Linked DNA regions of Arabidopsis thaliana. The main gene of each other region encodes a partner of the protein of the gene in region 4 in a complex. Each region holds a gene or a part of one and is shown on either strand. Other genes may lie near its edges.

The links.
Region 1: SMU2 (region 4) and RS31a share a complex: the UniProt entries of both Arabidopsis thaliana proteins name them as parts of the spliceosome.
Region 2: SMU2 (region 4) and RSZ21 share a complex: the UniProt entries of both Arabidopsis thaliana proteins name them as parts of the spliceosome.
Region 3: SMU2 (region 4) and ATU2AF35A share a complex: the UniProt entries of both Arabidopsis thaliana proteins name them as parts of the spliceosome.

What each region holds. Positions count from the first base shown.
Region 1 is NC_003071.7:19,135,440-19,140,823, forward strand, and holds RS31a (RNA-binding (RRM/RBD/RNP motifs) family protein), read right to left. Parts: upstream 3,324-5,384; 5' UTR 3,202-3,323; intron 3,076-3,201; 5' UTR 3,054-3,075; coding exon 2,948-3,053; exon of another isoform or gene 2,420-2,947; coding exon of another isoform or gene 2,392-2,419; exon of another isoform or gene 2,289-2,391; coding exon of another isoform or gene 2,243-2,288; coding exon 2,130-2,242; intron 2,052-2,129; coding exon 1,816-2,051; intron 1,722-1,815; coding exon 1,455-1,721; intron 1,361-1,454; coding exon 1,330-1,360; 3' UTR 1,127-1,329; downstream 1-1,126. Other genes in the region: AT2G46600 (Calcium-binding EF-hand family protein), read left to right, coding at 631-1,038; AT2G46620 (P-loop containing nucleoside triphosphate hydrolases superfamily protein), read right to left, coding at 3,632-5,107. UniProt on the Arabidopsis thaliana protein: Probably involved in intron recognition and spliceosome assembly.
Region 2 is NC_003070.9:8,426,389-8,431,798, reverse strand, and holds RSZ21 (RS-containing zinc finger protein 21), read left to right. Parts: upstream 1-2,313; 5' UTR 2,314-2,538; intron 2,539-2,557; exon of another isoform or gene 2,558-2,614; 5' UTR 2,615-2,634; coding exon 2,635-2,723; intron 2,724-2,795; coding exon 2,796-2,884; intron 2,885-2,980; coding exon 2,981-3,194; intron 3,195-3,399; coding exon 3,400-3,564; intron 3,565-3,701; coding exon 3,702-3,708; 3' UTR 3,709-4,542; downstream 4,543-5,410. Other genes in the region: AT1G23850 (uncharacterized protein), read left to right, coding at 4,754-5,410. UniProt on the Arabidopsis thaliana protein: Probably involved in intron recognition and spliceosome assembly.
Region 3 is NC_003070.9:9,612,939-9,617,756, reverse strand, and holds ATU2AF35A (U2 snRNP auxiliary factor small subunit), read right to left. Parts: upstream 2,851-4,818; intron 2,621-2,850; 5' UTR 2,606-2,620; coding exon 1,715-2,605; 3' UTR 1,400-1,714; downstream 1-1,399. Other genes in the region: AT1G27640 (uncharacterized protein), read left to right, coding at 2,851-3,294; CYCT1;3 (cyclin T 1;3), read right to left, coding at 3,790-3,977, 4,220-4,365, 4,443-4,615, 4,697-4,818. UniProt on the Arabidopsis thaliana protein: Necessary for the splicing of pre-mRNA. Probably active at the 3' splice sites.
Region 4 is NC_003071.7:11,254,235-11,261,637, reverse strand, and holds SMU2 (RED family protein), read left to right. Parts: upstream 1-2,567; 5' UTR 2,568-2,724; coding exon 2,725-2,771; intron 2,772-2,862; coding exon 2,863-3,003; intron 3,004-3,098; coding exon 3,099-3,148; intron 3,149-3,225; coding exon 3,226-3,340; intron 3,341-3,415; coding exon 3,416-3,464; intron 3,465-3,565; coding exon 3,566-3,655; intron 3,656-4,204; coding exon 4,205-4,273; intron 4,274-4,680; coding exon 4,681-4,804; intron 4,805-5,285; coding exon 5,286-5,692; intron 5,693-5,835; coding exon 5,836-6,219; intron 6,220-6,307; coding exon 6,308-6,589; 3' UTR 6,590-6,706; downstream 6,707-7,403. Other genes in the region: AT2G26470 (embryonic stem cell-specific 5-hydroxymethylcytosine-binding protein), read left to right, coding at 216-328, 619-684, 1,148-1,257, 1,338-1,403, 1,555-2,322. UniProt on the Arabidopsis thaliana protein: Auxiliary spliceosomal protein involved in splicing of specific pre-mRNAs that affect multiple aspects of development.

The DNA.
Region 1 (5,384 bases), 7.9 Mb from region 4:
TTATGTAGGCTTCTAACATGTCCTCGGTCGTTGGTTCAAAAAGCCACAATGATCATTTTACCTTTCTCTTAGCAATTTTATATCCAGTTAACAACTACTTAGTTCATATTTTTTCATAATAGTCACATCTCAAATTCAGACGAGAAATTACCGTTACATCAAATCAGTTAAGGCTTGGACGGAGAAAGAGATATTTTATTATATGTCGACATGTCGTTATTATTGTAAGAGAATCCAATTCCATTGAAGTAAATAATTGAAAGACACGACGGAAGAAATCAAGAAACGAAACTTCTCCGAAACTTACCATTGTCTTGTCTTTCTTTTGATAACAATATATGGGAGTGGGAATGCGTCGTATTCACGGCCCATTCGAACTTTCCACGAAACCACCTAATAATCAGCTGCTTCCCTCCCTACTCACGAAATCGCATTTTATCTTGGAATGAATATCAGCCGTTCATTATTTCAACTTTCAGAATCCAACGGCTGCGATTCAAGAGAGAGTTTTAGGCCACACGAACGTGACAAACACATCGGTACAGATACGCCACTCACTTATATATCCCTTTGGAACTAATCAAAAGAGTTCACCAAAATCTCTTCTCTCTCTTCCATTGTCTTCCTCTAATGGAACCAACCGAGAAATCTATGTTACTAGAAACTACTAGTACCACGAAGATGGAGACCAAATACGAAGATATGTTACCAGTTATGGCGGAGAAGATGGATGTTGAAGAGTTTGTATCAGAGTTATGCAAAGGTTTCAGTTTGCTTGCGGATCCAGAGAGACATCTCATCACAGCTGAGTCTCTAAGACGAAACTCAGGGATACTTGGAATTGAAGGTATGAGCAAGGAAGATGCTCAAGGAATGGTTAGAGAAGGAGACCTCGATGGAGATGGTGCTCTTAACCAAACCGAATTCTGCGTTCTCATGGTTCGGTTAAGCCCTGAGATGATGGAAGACGCCGAAACTTGGTTGGAGAAAGCACTCACCCAAGAACTATGTAATCACAATCTCTCTTCTATGCCTTGAATGATCGTCCTCCTTTCTTGTGTATTCTCTTTTTACTTCTACAAAACCTATAAATGTTTCTGAATATAAAATGAAGTAATGATTTCTTGATCCTGAAAAACTGAATGGATTGCCTTGAAACTATTCCAATTCCAAAAGAGATCATTGCCATTATAAGCTACTAATACTTTCTACACCACATAGAGTGCAAAGCACATACGGTTCAAGTCATAAGCGGTAAAGACTCAGTACTAAGAACTTGTTTTTGTACCATGCCCATACATTCTAAAAATCCATCGCCCAACAACATCTTCAACCTCTTGCTCTTTGAATCGGGGACCGGCTGTTAAAAAATAGAAAAGAAAAATCAGACAATTAGAGTAGCACATAACACTATATATAAGGATATTGACCATTCAGAAGCCAAGTACTGTTACCTTCTGTCATAGCCCGGACTCCTAGCTCTTGCTCTACCATAGTCTGAACTGCGACGCCCATAATCTGGACTCTTACGTCTTTCATAAGGAGCAGGACCCTTGTACCTGTCATATTCAGGACTGCGACGACGGGTATAATCAGGACTAGGACGCCTCCGATACACTGGGCTAGGAGATCTCCTTCTTCGACTGCCAGCATATCTATCTTCTCTTTCACCAGCCTCCCTCAAGGCATACTCAACAGAAACAACCTTATCCAGTAATTTGCTGCCAAGAGAGGATAATCAATGTAAGGGATTACCACTCGATCAATCACTACATGTCAGATAAATAGGTACTAACTAAGCAGGTTTGTTGTTACCTGTTGTGTGTAGAATCAAGAGCCTTGGTTGCATCTTCCTGGGTTGCGAATTGAACAAAAGCAAAATTGCGCCTCATGCGAACATTGAGAACTTTACCATATGGCTCAAAGTGTCTCTCCATATCACGCTCTCTTGTGCGAATAGGGTCAAAGTTGATGACAAAGAGTGTCTTTGTAGGCCTCTGATTCGAGACTGCCTTTCCATCACGAGGCTTCCCACGTTCACCCTGAAAGTCCTGAAAGCCAAAAGAAACTTAGAGCTCTCTGAAAATATCAGAGCATAAGATTAATTTTTAAAAAGAAGAAAAAGATACCTTGGCCCATTCAACTGATAACTTGCGTCGCCCATATCCAAAAGTGGTATTGTCAGTCCTACGGATTGCATCTTCAGCATCGCGCTCATCCTCAAAATACACAAAAGCATAACCTGCAAGAAAACAAAAACTCAAGATAAGAAGAGCGAGCATATACATTGACAAACTGTTTCAGCCCACAGAAATTGCAATGCAGGAGTTAGTCGATTAGAAGACACCTTTTCACCTAGAGAAAGACAAAAACTAAATAAATATACAACACCTGCATCAATGTGAAGGCTGGTGTACATAAGAAGTAGAGGCGTTCGATGTAGAGTAGTAAATAAAGATGTAGATGTGCAGTTGTAGAATGTAGCCTATGAAAAGGTAATAAAATCCAAATTTCTGTTCAATTCTGAATGGTTGCTAAGCCTTGCTTCACCATTCTGACATGAAAGGCGTGAAGAAACAAGGCAATAGATTGTAGGCTCAGCGAAGATTGTGGGCACAACATCATAACGGTAGGCATGAGAAAATGTAGGAATCTATTTGCAGGAAGAAATTGGCAATCCCATGAAAAGAGGAAACACAGTCATGCTCCTTTAGAGAAAGCTCCTGCGACCAAACAAACACTTACATACGAGAATCCCTCTCTTAAACACAACCCCAGTCATGGTTCCTTTTGAATTCTCTCCACACTCTTAACACTAATTCATGCTTCAGTAGAAAAAGTATCAATCAATAATGCCTGAGAAGCTCTCAAATTCCAGAATCAAACAGAGACTACAACACAGCAGATTGATCGCCATAAGGAGTACAAGTGCAAGAAAACGTTTTACCAGACTTCATATCAACTCGCTTCACTCTCCCGAACTTGCTGAACAATCTTTCAAGATCCGAATGGCGAGTATCATAGTCGAAATTCCCAACGTACACATGTCTCATTCTTGCAAAAGCAATCGAATTCCTAACACCAATTGTGATCAACATAAACAAAGACAACAAAGATCAGAACATTTATACTCGAAGAGCTCGCAAAGTATCTTTGATGATTCGATAAATCTTCATCTTCTGAGGGAGATATTCAATTTACCTTGAAGAATCTGAAGAGACGACGACGAGAAAGATAAACCCTAGAAGACGACGACGACGCTCGGCGAAGAAGACGGAGCTTCGTATTAATGACACAAAATCTTATAATGATGAACCGAAAAGCGTGTTATTGACGCTGTTACCATGAAGGGCATATTTGTCATTCCGTTAAAATTATTAATCCGCTTAACGCTATGGGCTTTTGTTTTACAACCGGCCCAAAATGTTCAATTACAAAGTGCTCAAAACTCAGAATCTCATACTTTGGGGACTCAAAAGCAAAATCTTATAAACTTCTGTACATCAACTAAAACCCAAAAACAATAAAAACAGAGTAACAACTTTCTCTAGTCTACGCTTTTTGTCCAGACTCTCTCTCAACCAATAAAACCAACCCACGTGGCTGCTGACTTTTAAAAACTTTTTAATCACTAGCCGTCCCTCATCTCTCGAGCCACATCGAACGATCCAGATTTTCTACTACTTTTAATTCTCAACAACCCATACAACTTCCTAAACTCCTTCACCGCCGGCGAACTTCCTCCGCCACCGCCGCAAAGCGAACCACTCATATCATCAGAAACATCCTCCGACGTCGACTTTCTCGAACCATTTTCTAAAAGCAAACGTCGTCCAGTTCCTCTCCGATCACCATCAGTCTGCAAAGCATTGATGACATGCTTCAATGCACGAGTCGGCGAGTTACGATTCGCGATCATCAACTCTCCGATCTCGGCGGGACTCAAAGACGCACCGTTTTGAAATATTCCTTCAACTTGAGAGAAAAGCTTGTGCTCTTTAACACCTAAGTAGTTATTAGCGAGCGTTTTAAACGCCGTGAAATCACATAAGGGAAAATGAATGTGTACGTCGACCCGACCCGGTCGAAGCATAGCCGGGTCAATTTGTTCTTTCCCAGTCATCGTAAACACCATGATCCGTTCATCGGCGGTGCAAGAGCTGAGAATACTATCAGTGAAATTCAAAATCCCAGATAAATTCACAGCCGTTGATTTCGTCGAGAGGTGTCGATCTAGATCTTCGATCACGATCACTGATTTGCCTCTGGTTTGTAACAGAAGCATCTTAAGATCTGAATCATCAACTACTTTGGAGAGATCTATATCGTAAACATCGTAATCTAAGAAATTCGCCATTGCTGCGACGAAGCTTGATTTTCCGGTACCGGAAGGTCCGTATAAGAGATAACTCCGTTTCCAAACACGGCCCAGACGATTATAATACTGTTTACCTTTGAGGAAAGATTCGAGATCAGATTTGACTTTGTTCTTCAGATCCGTTTCCATGGCGATGTTGTCGAAGGTACAAGGATGATCAAACGGAATCGATCTCCACCGTCCGTTCTTCTTCTTCTTCTTATTCAGATGATCATCGATTCCGACGTTGATGAAAAGCTTAAGCTCTGTGTTCCTCTGTTCAAGCTCATCAGATACTGTATGTATATGCTGGAGATAAGAACCGAGAATTCTCCGTTTGTCAGCTTTACGAATCTTCAAAACGAAATTCCTCGCTCCATCTTCGTCTTCTCCGTTAATCCAACAAACTCTAGCGCCGAGAAACTCGTCGCCAACGACTTGGTTCCGATCTAACCGGAGGATGATTTCGTTGGACTTTTTCCCGGTGAAGAGGTTCGTGAAATCAGAATTCTCGATCGAGCTTAAGGAATTTAGATACATGTAGACTTTTTGGTAGAGATGATTCTCTTGAACGTTGTCGTTGAATTCTGGGACTTTGTAGAATTGGTAAACATGAAACCAGTCGATGATCTTCCTACGCCATAACTTGACCATGTAAATCAATCCAGTTTTGAATAACAGGATCCTAACTAAGAACAGAGCAAACGTTGACACAAGTAACAAGAGAAACGAATCCCAAAGAATCCCCATGGAGAGAAATAAAATAAGAAAAACGTAAAACCTCTCTCTGGTTCCAAAACTCTCCGCTATATTATATAGTAGTAACGAAGAAGAAGAGTTTACTAGGTTTATTAGAGAATAAAGAAAGCAAACGCATGTTCGGAGAATTGTGAGAAAAAACAAAGAGAGAGTGATTATTTTGACGGAGATTGAGAGAAAGTTTGGAGGAATATTAAGAACAATCGGAGAAAGCCTAAAAGGACGACGAGATATTATTATTTTTTTCTTAAATTATTCTTTAAGAAAA
Region 2 (5,410 bases), on a different chromosome or scaffold from region 4:
ATAAAATGATAGTTTGGTTAGTTTTATAATGAGCTATCGTTTACGAGTTTATCCAAAATGAATCAGATTTTCCGTAAACATGACTCTAAGAAAAACTCAACTCTGGTGCCAAATCATTAAGTTTACACAATATAAAATGTTAATGGTGTAAATAAATTACAATATACAACAGTTTTTAACATTGCATGTAGCATGCTTAAATTCTACAAACTTTTCCCGTGAAACAAATAAAAAAACATCCCATCAATTTTGTTTACGGTTCCAGTTTTTGTTTTTATGTATTTTAAAAATATTTCAATGTATAGTTTAAGTAGCTATATTGAATCTATGATTTGGTAAGACATGAGAAATTTATATCAAAGTGGCGGTGTCCATGTATACAAAAATCTAATGTTGACGACAAGTCGTTTCATGTTAACAAAAAAAATACCGACTAGTCACATCTCTACAAAGTGCAGGTAACGTTTTAAGAAATAATTATCATAATCCGTTGGCAAAAAAAAAAAAAAAAAGACTAAAACAATTTAATGTATTGGTCAAAAAACAAAACTTCTACACACGATCTAAGACTATATCCATATTGATAAGATGAATTGAATCGATATATATTCTTACTTTAACAAAAAAGAAAGATCATTAGAGTTATCTTGTCTTACTAAAAGTCTTAGATAAAGACATAAAAATGGAACAAACATCATTGGGAATGCAACATGCATGTACATATTACATATAGTAAATATAATATAGTTAAAAGCGAAGTCATTATTATATGACTAAACTAAGATAATTAAAACATGTAAGCACACATTATCGGGAATGTATTGATATTAAAAGGGCACCACGTAGGTCAGGGTGGCCTCTCAAACCCCCCAAGGGACAAAGCAGCATTAGGATTGTCACTAAAGTACTAACCATGTGTTATTTTACGATATTATCCCCATTTGGTGTTAATGGTTCCAAGTGTCAATGTAAATAACGTTGACATATATAAGCCGTGTTTTGTTTTCACGTTGTTTAGGAAGCCAACGAGGATTGGGTAATTGGATCCGAATCAGATTGACACTTTCTTCTTCTTTACTTTTCTTGCTCTTCCACTTGACAATACCAATTTAGGGCTTGGCTGGATACAAATGTTTTTATCCTTCTTCAACCCGTTATCCGTTTTACTAGACTTAAAAAAAAAAGAATAGTATGTGTAAATATGATACATGATATCATGCATTTGTTAACTACGATAAAAAAAATCGAATATCTATATTGTCCATTTTGCAGATATCCCTTTTAAATATCTAACTAAATATCTGTAAATGTGAGGTTTAAAATTGAAATCCGTATATTTTTATTGATATGCACAACGATAGTTACAATAAGTAACATGACACTAATAATCACTCCCCAAAATTTTTATACAATTAGATATAATTTTAAATACTAATATTCTATAAATATTTCACAATTTTAGAAATTTTGATACTAACCAATTAATGTTAGCTTTGGATAACGAATGAAGTTATGGCCATCTTATTTCTTCTGAGCCATCTATTTAGCCATAGCCATCCAAAAATTAAAGAGTATCTTATTCCTCCCATGTCCAGCTTAAGGGACAAGCCAGGGAATAGCGACACGTGTAAATTGAATGTCGATTTTGTAAAAGGAGGTAAGTGGGGTCTACACAGTGGCTGCAAATAAACGAATCATAACTAAACACGTGTCAAAGACACAGTCTTAGAGGAGTCGATGTAAGTGGGACCCAGCATGACTTATCTTGGTTCAGAATGTTTTCCCCAATGGATAAGTGTCTTTTTGTTTTTGGTGGGATGATGAAACCTTTTCTATTTACGTCGACGCAATTTTAAACAATGAGACTCTTTTTTTTTTGTGTGTGTGCAATCGTTTAGAGACTTGTTCACATGAATTAGGTGCCCAATCATGTGTAAATTGGTAAGGTATATGTAAAACTAACAATTGTTACACTTGCCAACTCCAAACTTAGATTTAATCAGCCTACTATATTTTGAAAATTTAAGAAGATACAAGTACTGATGCAAAAGTTGAAAACCAAAACCAACTCATATGGGCCATTAAGCAACTGAAACTTGCTCATATTTTTAAAATTTTAACCAAAAGGTTATGGGTTTTAGGCCCATTAGTTTTTTTCAGACTGAGAATCACGTCAAGTTACAGTAATTAGACATCAAACTCTAGAAACATGTTTGCATAACTTTTGTTGTCAAAGATGTTTTGCATAGTTTCAAAATCCGCTTTCACCTCAATTCTCTTTTTACGTTAACTAATCGACTATGGGAGACTAGTCTTACATTTTGGTCGCTAAAACTTTGTTTATGAATATATGGATTACCGAAAAATAAGGGACCATGAAATAACTAATAAATGACCAAATAATATATGATGTTAATTTTTTTTTACTTTTCAGTTTTCATATAATAATGAAATAACTTGGTTACTCTCTTTCCTCGCCGTAGTCTGAGTCTGAACCCTAAAACATCCCGCTTCGCTGCTCAGGACCAAGAATCTCAGGTACCTTGTTAACTACTCGCTGTAACTATTATCGATATCCATATTTCTTCACAAAATTCGATTCTCTTTCGTTCAGATTCAACTGATCTTTGCAACATGACGAGGGTTTATGTCGGGAATTTGGACCCACGCGTCACCGAAAGAGAACTCGAAGACGAATTCAAGGCCTTCGGTGTTCTTCGCAAGTAAGTCCTATCTCTGTACTCAATTTTGTTTCAAGCCATACGAATTATGACTCTGAATCTTAAAAATCGCAGTGTCTGGGTAGCTCGTAGACCTCCTGGCTACGCATTCCTCGAGTTCGATGACGAAAGAGATGCTTTGGATGCAATCAGCGCATTGGATCGTTAGTGTTCTTCTCATTAGACCTCTTAGTTACCATGTAATGTTTGTATTATTGTTTGGTCATTGAAAAGTTTTACTCTTGTGGCGTATACTTCAGGAAAGAATGGGTGGCGTGTGGAGCTTTCTCATAAAGATAAAGGAGGTCGTGGAGGTGGTGGTGGTCGTCGTGGAGGTATTGAGGATTCCAAGTGCTATGAGTGTGGTGAGCTTGGACATTTTGCTCGCGAGTGTCGCCGTGGTCGAGGCTCTGTGAGGCGTAGAAGCCCTAGTCCCCGTCGTCGTAGGAGTCCAGATTATGGGTATGCTCGCAGGTAACGATCCAACGGAAACATTCTTATTGAGCTGCTTAGATGAGATAGTATGTCATTAGTATGTCCATTGTGTTAACATATCCATTGAAATTGCACTTTGTAATCATGTATAGGGGCTGAGTTGTTAATGTTGATAGTACCTTTCTTGATGTTATAATCGCTTTGTGACATACATTTTTGTTCCTGTGGAATTGATTTTGTTCAGGAGTATAAGCCCGCGTGGAAGAAGATCTCCTCCAAGGCGTCGCAGTGTTACTCCACCTCGCCGTGGGAGGAGCTACAGCAGATCCCCTCCTTATCGTGGTTCACGCCGTGATTCTCCTCGCCGCAGAGACTCGCCCTATGGTCGACGTTCGCCATATGCCAATGGGTAAAAGTTCTTTTCTCTTCTTGGATTTAGGTTTACTTTCTCAATCTGCATGACTCAACTTCAGCATTGTCTATGTAGATGTGAATAACATTTGAAGTATTTTGATATAAGGTATATATTCGTTTGCGTTTCTGCAGGGTGTGAAACTGGACCCTGAAGAGAAAGAAGCTATTACTAAGCTATGATGCTATATCTACTCTGTGGCGCCTTTTAGGATAGATCTTTATATCTGCTATTATGGTATTAGCTCTTCTAGGTTTGGTTGTTGAGCATGGACATGTCATGGTATGTTCGAGTTTTATTAGACAATTGGATTTGGTGAGTTCTCCTTCATGCTGTTTTCCAACAGCCGTCTTGACTTATTCTCTATAACACGCACTGGCCTGCTGTCTTCACACAGCGTCCTTGAACCCCTACACTTGAGGTCGTTCTTTCGTATCCATAAATGTTTTGTCTCTTGTTGAATGCACTTTCCTTATTATATAGACATATCTAAAAAGCTCAACTGTTTCCACTCTTTTTCCCTTGTGAGGTATGATTTATCGGGGATCTCTTGGCAGCACAGCTGCATCTTACTCTCCCCACAACTTAGTTTTATCATGAATCTGCATCCTCAACTCGACCAACATCAGCTAGAATTTGCTTGTTACATTGTGTGACTTTTAGATTGCCCTGCTCTTTACTCACCACTCCTACCCCAAGTCTGCAACCAAGCTTCTATTGAGAAAGACGAATCTGTTTCTTCACCCCGTCCTCTTCCTAGCTCTCGGCTGCTATATCACCACTTGGTTTCTCTACTCACTTTTGTTTTTCGGTCAACTTTGTTACACATCTGTTGGTGGATCACACACTTACATTAAATTAAACCCATTTGTGGATGCTTCTTTTTTATATTGCTTGTGAAAAACGTGTTAGCTTAGTCTTTTGTGTTCATGATTTGGTTTCCCACTTATGCTTTTCTTTTCCCAATTAATCTCGACTTTTAATCTGTTCTTCTTCGGCCGCCACATGTTTTCATTTTAATACTTTTCTAAATTTGGTTTTGAGGCAATTTGGTTCAGATTTGTTGGTATACCAATTCTTACGTCAACGTCAATGAAGAAACGACTCCATATTTACGAATAAAAAACTGTAGTAGATCTGTACTCTCCCTTTTTCTTTGTAGAGAAGAAGAGAACTGTGAAAGAAGATGAAGATTGAGGAGGATCTAGGTTTCATCAACATACTCAAACGAGCAACAAAGCTTCTATGTGGTAACATCAATCTTGTTCTCTTCCTCTTCCTTTGCTCTCTCCCCCTCTTTTGTTTCTTGATCTTCTTCGAGCTTTCACTCCAAACCACTGTCTCACTCGCTTCTCAATACCTCGTTCGACAACTCACTAATTGGGATTACTACTACGTTCCTCAAGATGCTTCCGTCTTGGAGAATCTGATTCCATTGCTTATCCAGACATTTCTACTCTACTTGTTCCCGTACGGCCTCATAGACCTCTTCACCACCACCACAATAGTCTCTGCATCTTGGACTGTTCACACGTCGGAGGAGGAACCGTTAAGGTTCGGTCAATTGGTTCGGAGAACGGTAGAGATATGTCAAAACAGACTTGAAGGTTGTCTGATCACCTCTCTGTACGTCCTTCTCTTGTCAACCCCTGTTTTCTTTGGCTTCTTATTTGTAGCAACGAACTATTTCCACATCATTTCTCTGACCGGATCAGGCGAAAACTCATACTACTATTCTATAAACATTGAAGAAGATGCCGAAGGCTATTACAGAAGCAGCAGTGTCAACAGTCCGGTAAAGATGTTGTTTGATGCGGTTTTAGCTATGTTTCACGGTGCTATC
Region 3 (4,818 bases), on a different chromosome or scaffold from region 4:
GAGGGTCCTAAAAAGTATGGGAAAGCATTATTATTTATTTTAAAGTTGTCTAAGAAGAGGACAAAGGCTTTAGAGCAGGGGAATATATGCTTTCTCAAATTTAGGGCATCACTGTCCAACAGACTTTCCCCATTCCTCATCTTTATATTTTCCTAACAATAACAAATTTAAGATCATATATTTCATTTTAGTATCATTATAATTCGATTTTCAGTTGCATAATGTATATAGAAACGCAGCAAGCTAGACACGTGCATGTGTTGTATTTGAGATTTTGAGGTATTATTATTACATGGAATTAATGTGACTTTATAACGCTGTTCAACAATCCATCTTTCACTATGTAGCTACGATCTTTCAGATTTCTAATTTTTGAACTTTGATATCTTGTATATTTTTGATGTAAGAAAACTTTTAAAAAGTTAACAAGATATCGTATGGGTTTTATTACTATAATATATCCACTCAAGCGAAGACGGCAAAGACTTCTCCACGTGGCCAATCTATTGAACTACTAATCTCCATAACTGAGAATTCATATGATAAAATTCCGTAAATATATATATATATATATATTATGTTAATTCAGACTATTCAGTCAATGTAAAGTAAGAATAAACAATGACATGTTTTGTTTGATGCTTTAGAAATGACACCGCCGTGTCAATGGGATGGGCTGTGGGTGTTGATGCTAGATCGGACGGATGTATTGGGGTGGTGTGACGGTGGTAGCGATATTTTAATGCATTGTAATTGATTAATTCTGAGTTTTTTAACTAAACATATATTTGTGAACATGTGTGGGACAAAAAAAAAAGTAATTAATTTATTGTGATTAGTGGTTTGACTCGTCATCACAATTAGAACAATGGTTTGGCCGTTTGGGAGTTATGAGTTATATGACCATTTGAATATTCTGTCCAGAAGAACCACAACGATCACTGAAGAGGGACTCGACGACGCCTACAAGCCAAAATGACCTTCATGATTTTATGGTTTAGGGTTGATGTATATTGCATTGTCGACTTCTGTTATATATTCCGCTATATTATACATCTTTTTACTCATATGGAGTATTTTATGCATATATGTATTCATTGCGTGAATTAGACAAACAGCTTATGAAGTAATTTTGGAAAGTATATAGGTCTAGTAAGCTACATATTTGGCATGACCAATTGGAAGCCAGTATGTTTGAAAAATGGCAACCAAGACTAACCCATTCGATAACTGGTTTAGAAAAAGACTTAACTTCTGACGTGTTTGGAACACAAATCAATGCAATCAAAGGCCCAAAGTGTTTGCCCCTTATCTTTGTCTAAAATTCTGAGGTGCTTTGACCCGAATTAGTGCCACAACTGAACCATGACACAGAAACTCGTTAGTATTCCCAAGCATTGAAGAACAATAGACAACTTCGAATTAAACTAGAACTCTTTTAAGTTTTAACCAACAGAAGATAGTACAAAGTTCTAAAGAACACTGGTGAAAATCAATAACAAGGGGACAGAGCGGTTTTTCCTAATCAAAACTACAAGAAAGTAACCCCAAACATTTTATAATCTAAAGAAGTTGATTCCACTCATTTCAAGTTCCAAATTAGAACAGCCAAATGAAAAATCCATCACCAGATTTTACCGATTTCAGAATAAACGCAGAGAAGCAGACGCAGAAACCACATAGCAGCAATTGTGATTTGAGTAAACAACTGTTTTTATGCTCCTCCCTCTTCCTTCTCCTCCCGTTCTCTGTTCCATTGCTCAATCCTTGCCCTCCTCTCCTCACTTCCTTCCCTCCCGCCACCCGGGCTCCCTCCTCGTTTAGGGCTTGCTTGTCTCCTACCCCTTGAACCGTCCCTCTCTTGCCTCTCCGACCTCTCACTGCTCCTTTTTCCACTTCCATGACGGTAAAACTCGCGATCTCTGTCCCGATGACTGAATTCCCTGTGAGAAGGATCACGTCGGTCATTATCTCTCTTGTTCCTGGGGCTAATACTCCTGCTTCTGCTCCTGCTTCTACTTCCTCTGCGGTATGATCGCCGATATCTCCCAAAGAGTTTTCTCCTTAGTTCCCTCGAAACAAGCTTCACATGCATGAAATTACAGTACCCACCACGGTTGCAGTTGTTTTCTTCATACTGCCTACACGTGGCTTCGCGGAAATCCGTCACAGGAGAGAAATCAGCAATGATGGGACGTCCTGAATAGAACCTACCTTGCAGAGCCTGCAAAGCAGCTGCAGCCTGATCCTCTTCCTTAAACTGAACATATACGTTGCCAATCATGTGGTCAGCAAGGTTGTCACAAATGTTGAGGCTCTCTATCTCGCCAAACTTTCCAAGCTCCTCAAAAAGATCCTCAAAGAAATCCTCAAAGTGCTCCTGAATCTTACGCGGGTCGAGTGGTTGGCCCTGAGCGTCAACACCAGGGGTAATCATGTCAGGCCTTTGGTACATGTTTGAAAGAAGGAGTGTTGGGGAGATGGTAGGACGGTTGTGAAGACGCGAGCACCGGTCACCATGACGGCAAGCGCCAATCTTGAAGTAGAAAGGGCAATTCACTCTGTCTTTCTCAGTACCAAAGATTGAAGCCAAATGCTCCGCCATGGCAGAATTTCCACCCTGAGTTTAAGAAATCAGTCATTGAACAAGATATTTAGCAACATATAGACATAAATTGAAAAGAGATTGGTAGATATCAAAAACATCAACAAGAAACTAAATTATGTTACGAAAGCGAAAAGATTGAGCAACTATTGAAGATAAAAGGCAGAGATCTTAGTCAGCTATTGAATTCAATGGAAAAAAGAACAAAGAATCACACATAGATATAACCAAATAACCAGAGACATATGGATATAAAATCGGAAACAGAGCAATACAAAAGAAAAGCAGAGATAGAGAAACACACAAAGGAGCCAAATAAACACAGAGACGAAGCAGTGCTCCAAAATAGAGCTGGGAGGCACAGAGACCGAGCCGTAATAGATCACAAAAGCGAAGAAAGAGAGAGAGAAAGCGTACAGAATGTTACAGAGATGAGTGGGATTGAGAGATCTGAGGGTGAGTGGTCGCCGCCGGTGGAAGGAATTACCGACGAGGAGCTGCCGTCTCACTCGCCGATGGATGATCTAGGGTTTGCTTTGTTCGCGAGTTGGGGGAGAAAGACAGAGAGACAGAGAATGGGATCTCCTGACATAAGGATTTATATTTTTAATCCGATAAAAAAGATAATAATAATGGAAACTAGAATCCGGTTTGGTCTAGAATGGAAACCAAGCGGTTTTGGTTCTTGACCGGTTTATACGATCGGTATAAGCTAGGTGTAGTTAATTGAACCGGTTAATTACTTATCCGATCGGTATAAGCTTGATCATATGATGATTGTGTTCGTCTCAAGTCTCAACTCAACACAGACCTAATAGCACTTCATCAAAAACCAAATTACTTAACAATGAGAGAATTAGTCAAAATCAAAACAACTTTAAACTTTTTAAAGAAACCAAAAACATAGATTCCAGATATACAAACGATATAAAGTCAGCTAGTATTATAACATGTGAATGGGACACTTCTATACATAATCTCTCTCTATCGAGAACAGAGACCAAGAATCTCGAGAGAATCCACTTTGGTCATACATGAGACGCTTAACTTAGACAGAAGCACCTCACTCGGATCTCTATATAATGCTACACTGCCTCTCTCATGAGTCTCTACGGAAATCTTTTATTGCTAAACCAACTCAAGACTCTAAGAGAGATTACATCTTCATGCTGCTCAACAATGGCTCACCAGATGCCAGCCTGTCTATAGGACTGCAAAGGGTAGCTGTGAAACGGATAAGCTCTAGCCATATGGACCGGCTTTACGGCTGCAGGTATTGCCCAACTTAACTCTCTTCTTGGAGGTGGAGGTGGAGGTGGCATATTCCTCCTTCTGTCCACTTCTATCAGTGTGCACATCTCCTGGATTACCTCTGTCACCATAATGAAAACATCCAATTATTTTTAATCAACCGCTAAAATCAATAGCAGCACATCTCTTCGTTCAGGCCACTACCTAATTCCAAACTCAATATGTGCACAGGGTAAGAACCTAACATGAGCTGGAGCTACAGTACCACATATTCCTAGCGCTAACATTATAGAAACACTACATCTCACTTGATCAAATGACTGCAATAATACCAGAGGAAAAAATAGAGTTTGAACAGCAAACCTTTTAATAGCTTAGTTGTAACTCCAAACTCCAACCACCAATCTCTCCTGCTGCCTACTTTCGCATTCTGAAACGTAGCAGCTAGGTGCACAGTGGCTGTTGCAATAACATGGGGTTTGTACTGCAAGCATAGTGTGGTTCGAATCCTACACACAATGCATAATAAGATTCAAACTCAATGTAGGGGAAAAATCGGGCAGATATTATTAACAAGGGTCTTTACCAGTCATGCACAAAATTCCATGCAGCTGTTGCAAGGTCAGGCCAAGCGTTCAGTCTATTCAAAGCCGCAGCCAGAGGTTTGTAGGGAAGTTCAATGTCTAAATGGAAAGCACTTGTGCTCAGCAGAAGACTTTCCCCGGACAAAATAATTTCTTTAAATTCATGATAACACTCCTACAGGCAGAGCAACATGTAATAAATTAGCAAAATGCACAGTGCGAATTTACCAATACATAGATGTATGTATACACTTACAGTTTGATGGATTCTAATTGAGGCAGAAGGATCCCACTCATAAATTATTTCATAAGACGCTACAACGACACTGGACAGTTGACATGGCTCATCTTCAGCTTTGCAAGCGAGGAACAGACTGG
Region 4 (7,403 bases):
TTTGTAAATGTTTGCTTCCATTTTATCTTCCATCTGCATTACAATACGTATTGTTTATCAATGTATAGTGTTGGATCAAAAAACTCATACAAACTTTCAGCTAGATATTTTAATTTTTCATGTTACACAGATGTGAAATTTTTCTTTATACATATAAATATACATGCTTGTGTTGTGTCTACGCGAAAAAACTTACAGTGTGATTCGTTTTGAAGGTTCTATGAGTGGAAGAAGGAAGGTTCAAAAAAGCAACCCTACTACATCCATTTTGAGGATGGGAGACCTCTCGTATTTGCTGCTCTTTTTGATACTTGGCAGAACTCAGGAGGTGAACCGTTTATCTTCGTTATATTAAGCTCTGAGTGTCTATATTCTTATTGAAGCCGATCCTGAAACATTTCCTAGCCTTCCTTTTAAGAGATGTTTGAATTGCTTACTATCTTTCTTTCTCATCACTTTTAACCTCCATATATTTAGGTAGGAAGTTTTAACGTGTATTAGAAAATTGAAGCAAAACTTGCTGAATGAATTTAAGTCTTTGGTTTTATGTCCTTTTTGGTAGCTACAATATCTCGCCTGTTTTCAATTTAAGTAACAGTTACTTTTTTTTTCTTGCAGGTGAGACACTTTACACCTTTACGATTTTGACAACCGCTTCCTCTTCAGCCCTCCAATGGCTCCATGGTTAGTAATATATACACTGGCTACATCGTGTGACATTTTTTCTTATTCAGTAATGATTCTCAGTAGCACAATGAAACACATAGCATATGAAGTTGGGAATTGTATATTTGTCTATGGACGCTTGAAGCTTGTGTTCCTCGTTGTTTAAAATGAGGTTTAATCAAACCCGCACATTAATAAAGATACAAACTTATCATAGTAGTATGAGTTGTTTCTGTTTTCGTATTACATCTGATTTGATAAGCTCTTTTAGAAAAGATACATATGTAATTGCATGAGAATCTTTAACTTCTTTAAGTACTGGAATAGAACAAGCAGTGGCTGTTTAAGGTAGTTTAATATTGAGAGTAGCGTTTCTTATACAATGCTTACATTATTAGCGGCTGTTGATGATTGTTTTGTTGATTTGCAGCAGCCCTGAATTTTTGTGTTAACACGTGAGTTTGTTTATTTTTCATGTAAGACAGAATGCCTGTAATTCTTGGTGATAAGGATTCAATCGACACATGGTTAGATGATCCCTCGACAACGAAACTGCAGCCATTACTTTCACCATATGAAAAATCGGATTTGGTATGCAATTGCTTACTTCCTCGCATATAAGAGTGGTCTTTCCTTTTTCATTTACTTGAGATTGAAGTTTGAACTTTCAGGTATGGTATCCAGTAACCTCTGCAATTGGTAAACCAACGTTTGATGGACCAGAGTGTATTCAACAGGTACGGTTAACATCTTTCCCTTTCTTAGTAGTGTACAACTCAAATCTCAAGTTTGATCTCAAGTCGCATTAAACATATTGTCAGGATCACTATGTATTTGTACAGTCTGTATGCTTATTGTCATTTCAAATAAGGATTATGCCACCTGCAGATACCGCTAAAGACTTCACAAAATAGCTTGATCTCGAAGTTTTTCTCAACAAAGCAGCCCAAAACAGATGAAGGAGACAAAGAAACCAAATCAACAGATGCAAATATCATAGTTGATTTGAAAAAGGAACCTACGGCTGAAAAGGACACGTTTTCTGACAGCATTAAGAAAATTGAAGAACTAGACGGGGAGAAAGATATGTCGAATGTAGCCAAAAATCTGGAGTTTCAAGAGATTGTGAAAGCAGAACCATTTGTTGAAGATAACTCAGCAGTTGCGTCACTTCCTGAACCTGTAAAGAATGATGTTCAGGAGGGTACAAAGGAAGAAGGCAAATCCCTAAAGACTGGTCTTACTAAAGAAACAGGTGAGAGCAGTGCCAGTATACCGGCTGAGTCCTACATCCTTGATCTCCAAAGAATCTCAAAAGAAGAACCCGAGACTCAAAGCCATCATTTCTTTACTGCAGATGAGAGATTGAATCAGCTGCATGAGGCTGTCGAAGATATTCCAGGAAATGAAAACCAGAAGACAGTTTTAACTAGCCCGACGACGAAGGAAGGTGGCTTAGTGTTTAGCGAAAAGAGTGGGACAAAGCGAGACTATGAGGTATTCTCAGCTCAAGAAAAGCCACAGAAACACTATGAGAGGTTGCAAAATGTTAAAAGCAGTGGGAAACAAGGAAAGATGCATGGAATGGGGAAATCTAACATCAAGAAATCTAAGGAGACGCAGTCTACATTACATTTCTTTTTCGATGAGAAATAGTTTTGAGTCTACATAACATCTATGAGGACCATGTTGGCCTACTTTTGTTGTAGATAATGTTAGATAAGACCATCGTTTTGGGAATGTTGCTTGTATTGTATGTGTAGTGTTTGATCTTTGATCTAAGGTAATATTATTATGAATGAATTGGGTTTTTAATGTCCTTGGTGGATGGTAAAAATTTGTGAACCAGGTTTCGATAATCAAACCCGGTCGCTAAACGATTTTATCGGTTTAAATTAGATCCGGTTTCTAAATTAAACATCGAATTCTAATTTCCCCTGACCAGAACCACCAACGCTTTGAAATCGAAACAGACACAGATATCATCAGAACGAAGAACTTCAGCCAAAATCTGATTTTTCTCTGTTTCACGACAAGAAATCGAATTAACGAAATCTAATGAAACCTTCAAAATCGCATCACAAGGAGAAAACCGCTCGTCGGAGGTCAGAAATCTTCATTTTCCTCTCTCCCCTTTTCTTCAAAAGCTAGGGTTTTTACACAAAAACATCAAAACTCGTCACTTTTCCTTCACAGAGAGGAGAAACTAGAGGAATCCGATAATCCAAAATACAGAGATCGTGCTAAAGAAAGAAGAGAGAATCAAAATCCTGATTATGATCCATCAGAGCTTAGTTCTTTCCATGCCGTTGCTCCTCCCGGAGCTGTCGATATCCGGTAGCACTTGTCTTTCCTCGATTACTTCATTATCTTTCTAAATTCTAATTGGGTTTCTCTAAATTTCTGTTGCTGTGTACTTTTTTTTGTTGTAGTGCTGCTGATGCACTTAAGATATCTATTGAGAACAGCAAATATCTTGGAGGTTTGTGTTAGGTTTACAAATTTATTCAAAATGTTTTTTTTTTGAGGTGCTTATGTTGTTTTTATGATATGGTTTAGGTGATGTTGAACATACCCATTTAGTTAAGGGTTTGGATTATGCTTTGTTGAATAAAGTACGAAGCGAAATCGTTAAGAAACCTGATGGTGAAGATGGTGATGGTGGGAAGACTAGGTAGATTTGGTTATACTTGGTTTATTGACTCATTTGGCTTCTTTGATTCAAGTGCTAATTTTACTATATTAACAGTGCGCCTAAGGAAGATCAGCGAGTTACTTTCCGTACCATAGCTGCAAAGGTATGCAATTTTGTTCTGAACTTTGCAGATGAGGAGCAAGTTTTGGGATGTAGTTAACGCGCTTGATGTTTTTTGTTTCTCTTGTCTTTGATCTGTTTCAGTCAGTTTACCAGTGGATTGTTAAGCCTCAGACTATCATCAAGTCTAATGAGATGTTTCTTCCCGGTAGAATGACATTTGTCTATGATATGGTATTGCTTGTTAACTCTTTTTCAGGAAGATTCAATCTTATTACATGTTCTTATGTCGTTGTTTGTCTTAGGAAGTAGTCATACATGTGTATTCTGCTTCAACGATTCTTCTTCGAGTATTAGTTAATATTTAGTTAAATCTTCGCTTCTAGTTTAAATACATGTCTCAGGAAAATTTTAAGAAGGTAGCTTAAGCTGTTTTGCATTACCTTGTTAGCGATTTATTCACGATTTAATCTATTTGTTAGAAACCTTATACGCAGAATTGGTTGTAAAGGTTTTTTAGTTCGATTAACGTGTCTGCTCTTCTTGAAGAAGCATATTCTTTTTCTCTTGCAGATAGAGACACCATACGACAAGAAAAGTCAGTTGAATATACTATTGATATTTGGTAGTGTTACGTATGAAGTTTCCTTTGAGATACTTAGTCTCAGCTAAGCTGCTAGGCTAAGCTTATAGTATGGGTTTAGTCTGCCCTTTGAAAGCCTCCCTGTTGATGTATATTAATTTTATTCCCTTTTGTTTTTAATTCTATTTGTTGCTTTTCAGGAAGGTGGCTATACCCATGACATACCGACCACGTTATATAGGAGTAAAGCTGACTGCCCGGTGCCCGAGGTATGTATACTTAGAGTCCTTGTTGTAATAGTCTTCTTGATCCTGGAAAAATCTTTAGACTGTAAGCAGTGATGTGACATGATCGTTTTGATTCTAATGAAAATAAGCCCACTCTGCCTGTCTCTGCAACCTATTTTCTTTTACAGTGTTGATGTATTCAATACAGCTAATATCGATTATATAAGTCATTAGTTTTGGTAGAAGCATAGATTTTCTTTAAGTAATTATAAAAATCTTTTTAAACTAAATTCAACTTTCTTTCTACTAATCTGGAACCAAAATTAACGTTGCTTAATATGTTTGTTTACTGAACATAATAAAAATTTATAATTGAAATCACTGCTGCAATTTTTGCGAGAATTGTTTCATTTAACAGGCACTGTTTCTCTGTCCTATCTCCCCAACAGGAATTTGTCACAGTCAATGTTGATGGTTCTGTGCTAGATCGAATTGCTAAAATCATGTCATATCTTCGCCTTGGGTCGTCGGGGAAAGTTCTCAAGAAGAAAAAGAAAGAAAAAGATGGGAAAGGTATTTTGCATCTACTGGTGCATTTTTTTGTAAAGTTTAAGTATTAGCAGACCTGATTCACTTACACTGGTTAAATAAGTTCTCTGCTTTTCCCGAAATTTGTTAATTATCTGGTCTTACAGTTTGGAGCCAAGAATGTAAAGAGTGTACCTAGTCTTTGACCACAGTACTAGTAGTATCTACTGATGTCTGGTTGTGTTCTCGCTTATCAATTGTGAAGAAATTTAGTTGTATCATAAATATGTTGCTGCCGTCCCTTGATGGTTCTGTAAACTCTGTTGTTAGTAATTTTTATTATGCTAATGTGGTGCCAGTACATGTTGTAGTTCTTGTTTCACATCAGCATACAATTGGATACAAGTTGGCTGGTTTCTGATTCTTTAGCAAGATAATTTGCTAATTTCTATTCTATCATACGTTCATGCATTTTTTATATTATTTTGCCTTATTAATCACATCCACTGCAACTTTTCAAATGCAGGAAAGATGTCAACTATTGCTAATGATTATGATGAAGACGACAATAAATCTAAGATTGAGAATGGATCTTCTGTGAACATAAGTGACAGGGAAGTTTTACCTCCTCCTCCGCCATTACCACCTGGGATAAACCATCTGGATTTGAGTACGAAACAAGAAGAACCCCCTGTTGCCAGGACAGACGATGATGACATATTTGTTGGTGAAGGCGTCGATTACACGGTTCCTGGTAAAGATGTGACACAGAGTCCTATTTCTGAGGACATGGAAGAATCTCCCAGGGATAAGGAGAAAGTATCTTATTTCGATGAGCCTGCTTATGGTCCAGTGCAGGAGAAGGTACCTTATTTCGCTGAGCCTGCTTATGGTCCAGTGCAGCCATCTGCTGGTCAGGAATGGCAAGATATGGTCAGTTCACCCTAGCTAATCCTTGGTTGTATTTATTCTCAAATCTTGATCCTCGTCTGCAAATTTTGCGTCTTGGTATGTAGTTATTAGATGTCATTTATTCCCATATTTAGGTTTTTTCTGGTGGTTGTGTGTTTTTCCAGAGTGCATATGGTGCAATGCAAACTCAAGGACTGGCTCCTGGGTACCCCGGAGAGTGGCAGGAATACCAATATGCAGAGCAAACTGGGTATCAGGAGCAGTACCTTCAACCTGGAATGGAGGGTTACGAGGTCCAACCAGAAACCGATGTTTTACTAGATCCTCAACTCATGTCGCAGGAAGAGAAAGATAGGGGTTTGGGATCGGTTTTCAAGCGTGATGACCAAAGGCTTCAACAGTTGAGGGAGAGTGACGCAAGGGAGAAAGATCCAACTTTTGTATCCGAGAGTTATTCAGAGTGTTATCCAGGTTACCAAGAGTACAACCATGAGATTGTCGGTAGTGATGAAGAACCTGATTTGTCTAAAATGGACATGGGTGGAAAGGTATGCCCTGACTTAATTACATGTTCCTTGTTATTTATTGTGGAAGAGCAAAATTACAGTATCTGGTTGTTGAATGTACATGGAACAGGCAAAGGGTGGTTTACATCGATGGGACTTTGAGACAGAAGAGGAATGGGAAAAATATAATGAGCAGAAGGAAGCGATGCCAAAAGCGGCGTTCCAATTCGGGGTAAAGATGCAAGATGGTCGAAAGACAAGGAAGCAGAACCGTGACCGTGACCAGAAGCTCAATAATGAACTTCACCAGATCAATAAGATACTTACGAGAAAGAAGATGGAGAAGGAGGGTGGGGATGTTGCTTCTTTGGATGCCGCCGAGGCACAAACTCCTAAGAGATCCAAGCATTGATTTGTCTCTTGTCTACTCCAGTCATTCTCTCGTAATCTATTTTGTATCTTCAAGTCTGTTTAGGTTTTTGGTACCTTGAGTTCAAATTCTTAATTTAGAAAAGATTTTACGTCCAAATTTTGAAATGATAGCATTCTTATTTCCTAATTACCCATTAAACACGAAGCAGTTTTGGGAGTTGGGACAGCCTTAGGTTTTAGGTTTAGCATCACCAAAAATGAGACGCTTCAGTAACCAACCCAACAAGACAAGCAAAAAACTAGAAAAATCATAAAACCCTAATCAGAAAAATGGCCACAGATTCCATGAATGCAGCCACCGTCAATGACTCCGACCGTTTCATCTTCTCCACACCTCTCTCCGCTCGTGGTTCAACCAAACGTGACGCCATCTCCGTCGAGGATCTTGGCCAATACACTCTTCTCAAACTCCATTCAAATCCGGTTTCACAAACTACATAGATCTTGGCCAATACAACGACGAAGATGACGATGTAAGAATCCTCTGTTTCACACCAATCTCCATAGAAAAGGGACAGTCCTCTGTTTGACCAATACAACGACGAAGACGCTCTTTCGACTGCGAGATATGTGTTGAACGAAAACCAAGGATTGAATCTTTTCGAATCAATGGCTGTTCTCACACTTATTGCAACGATTGTGTCTCAAAATATATAGCTGCTAAGTTACAAGACAACATTCTCTCAATCAAATGCCCTGTTTCTGGTTGCTCGGGGCAGCTCGAGCCCGATAAATGCGGTCAAATCCTGCCAAGAGAAGTCTTTGATCGGTGGGGAGACGCTCTTTGCGAGGCG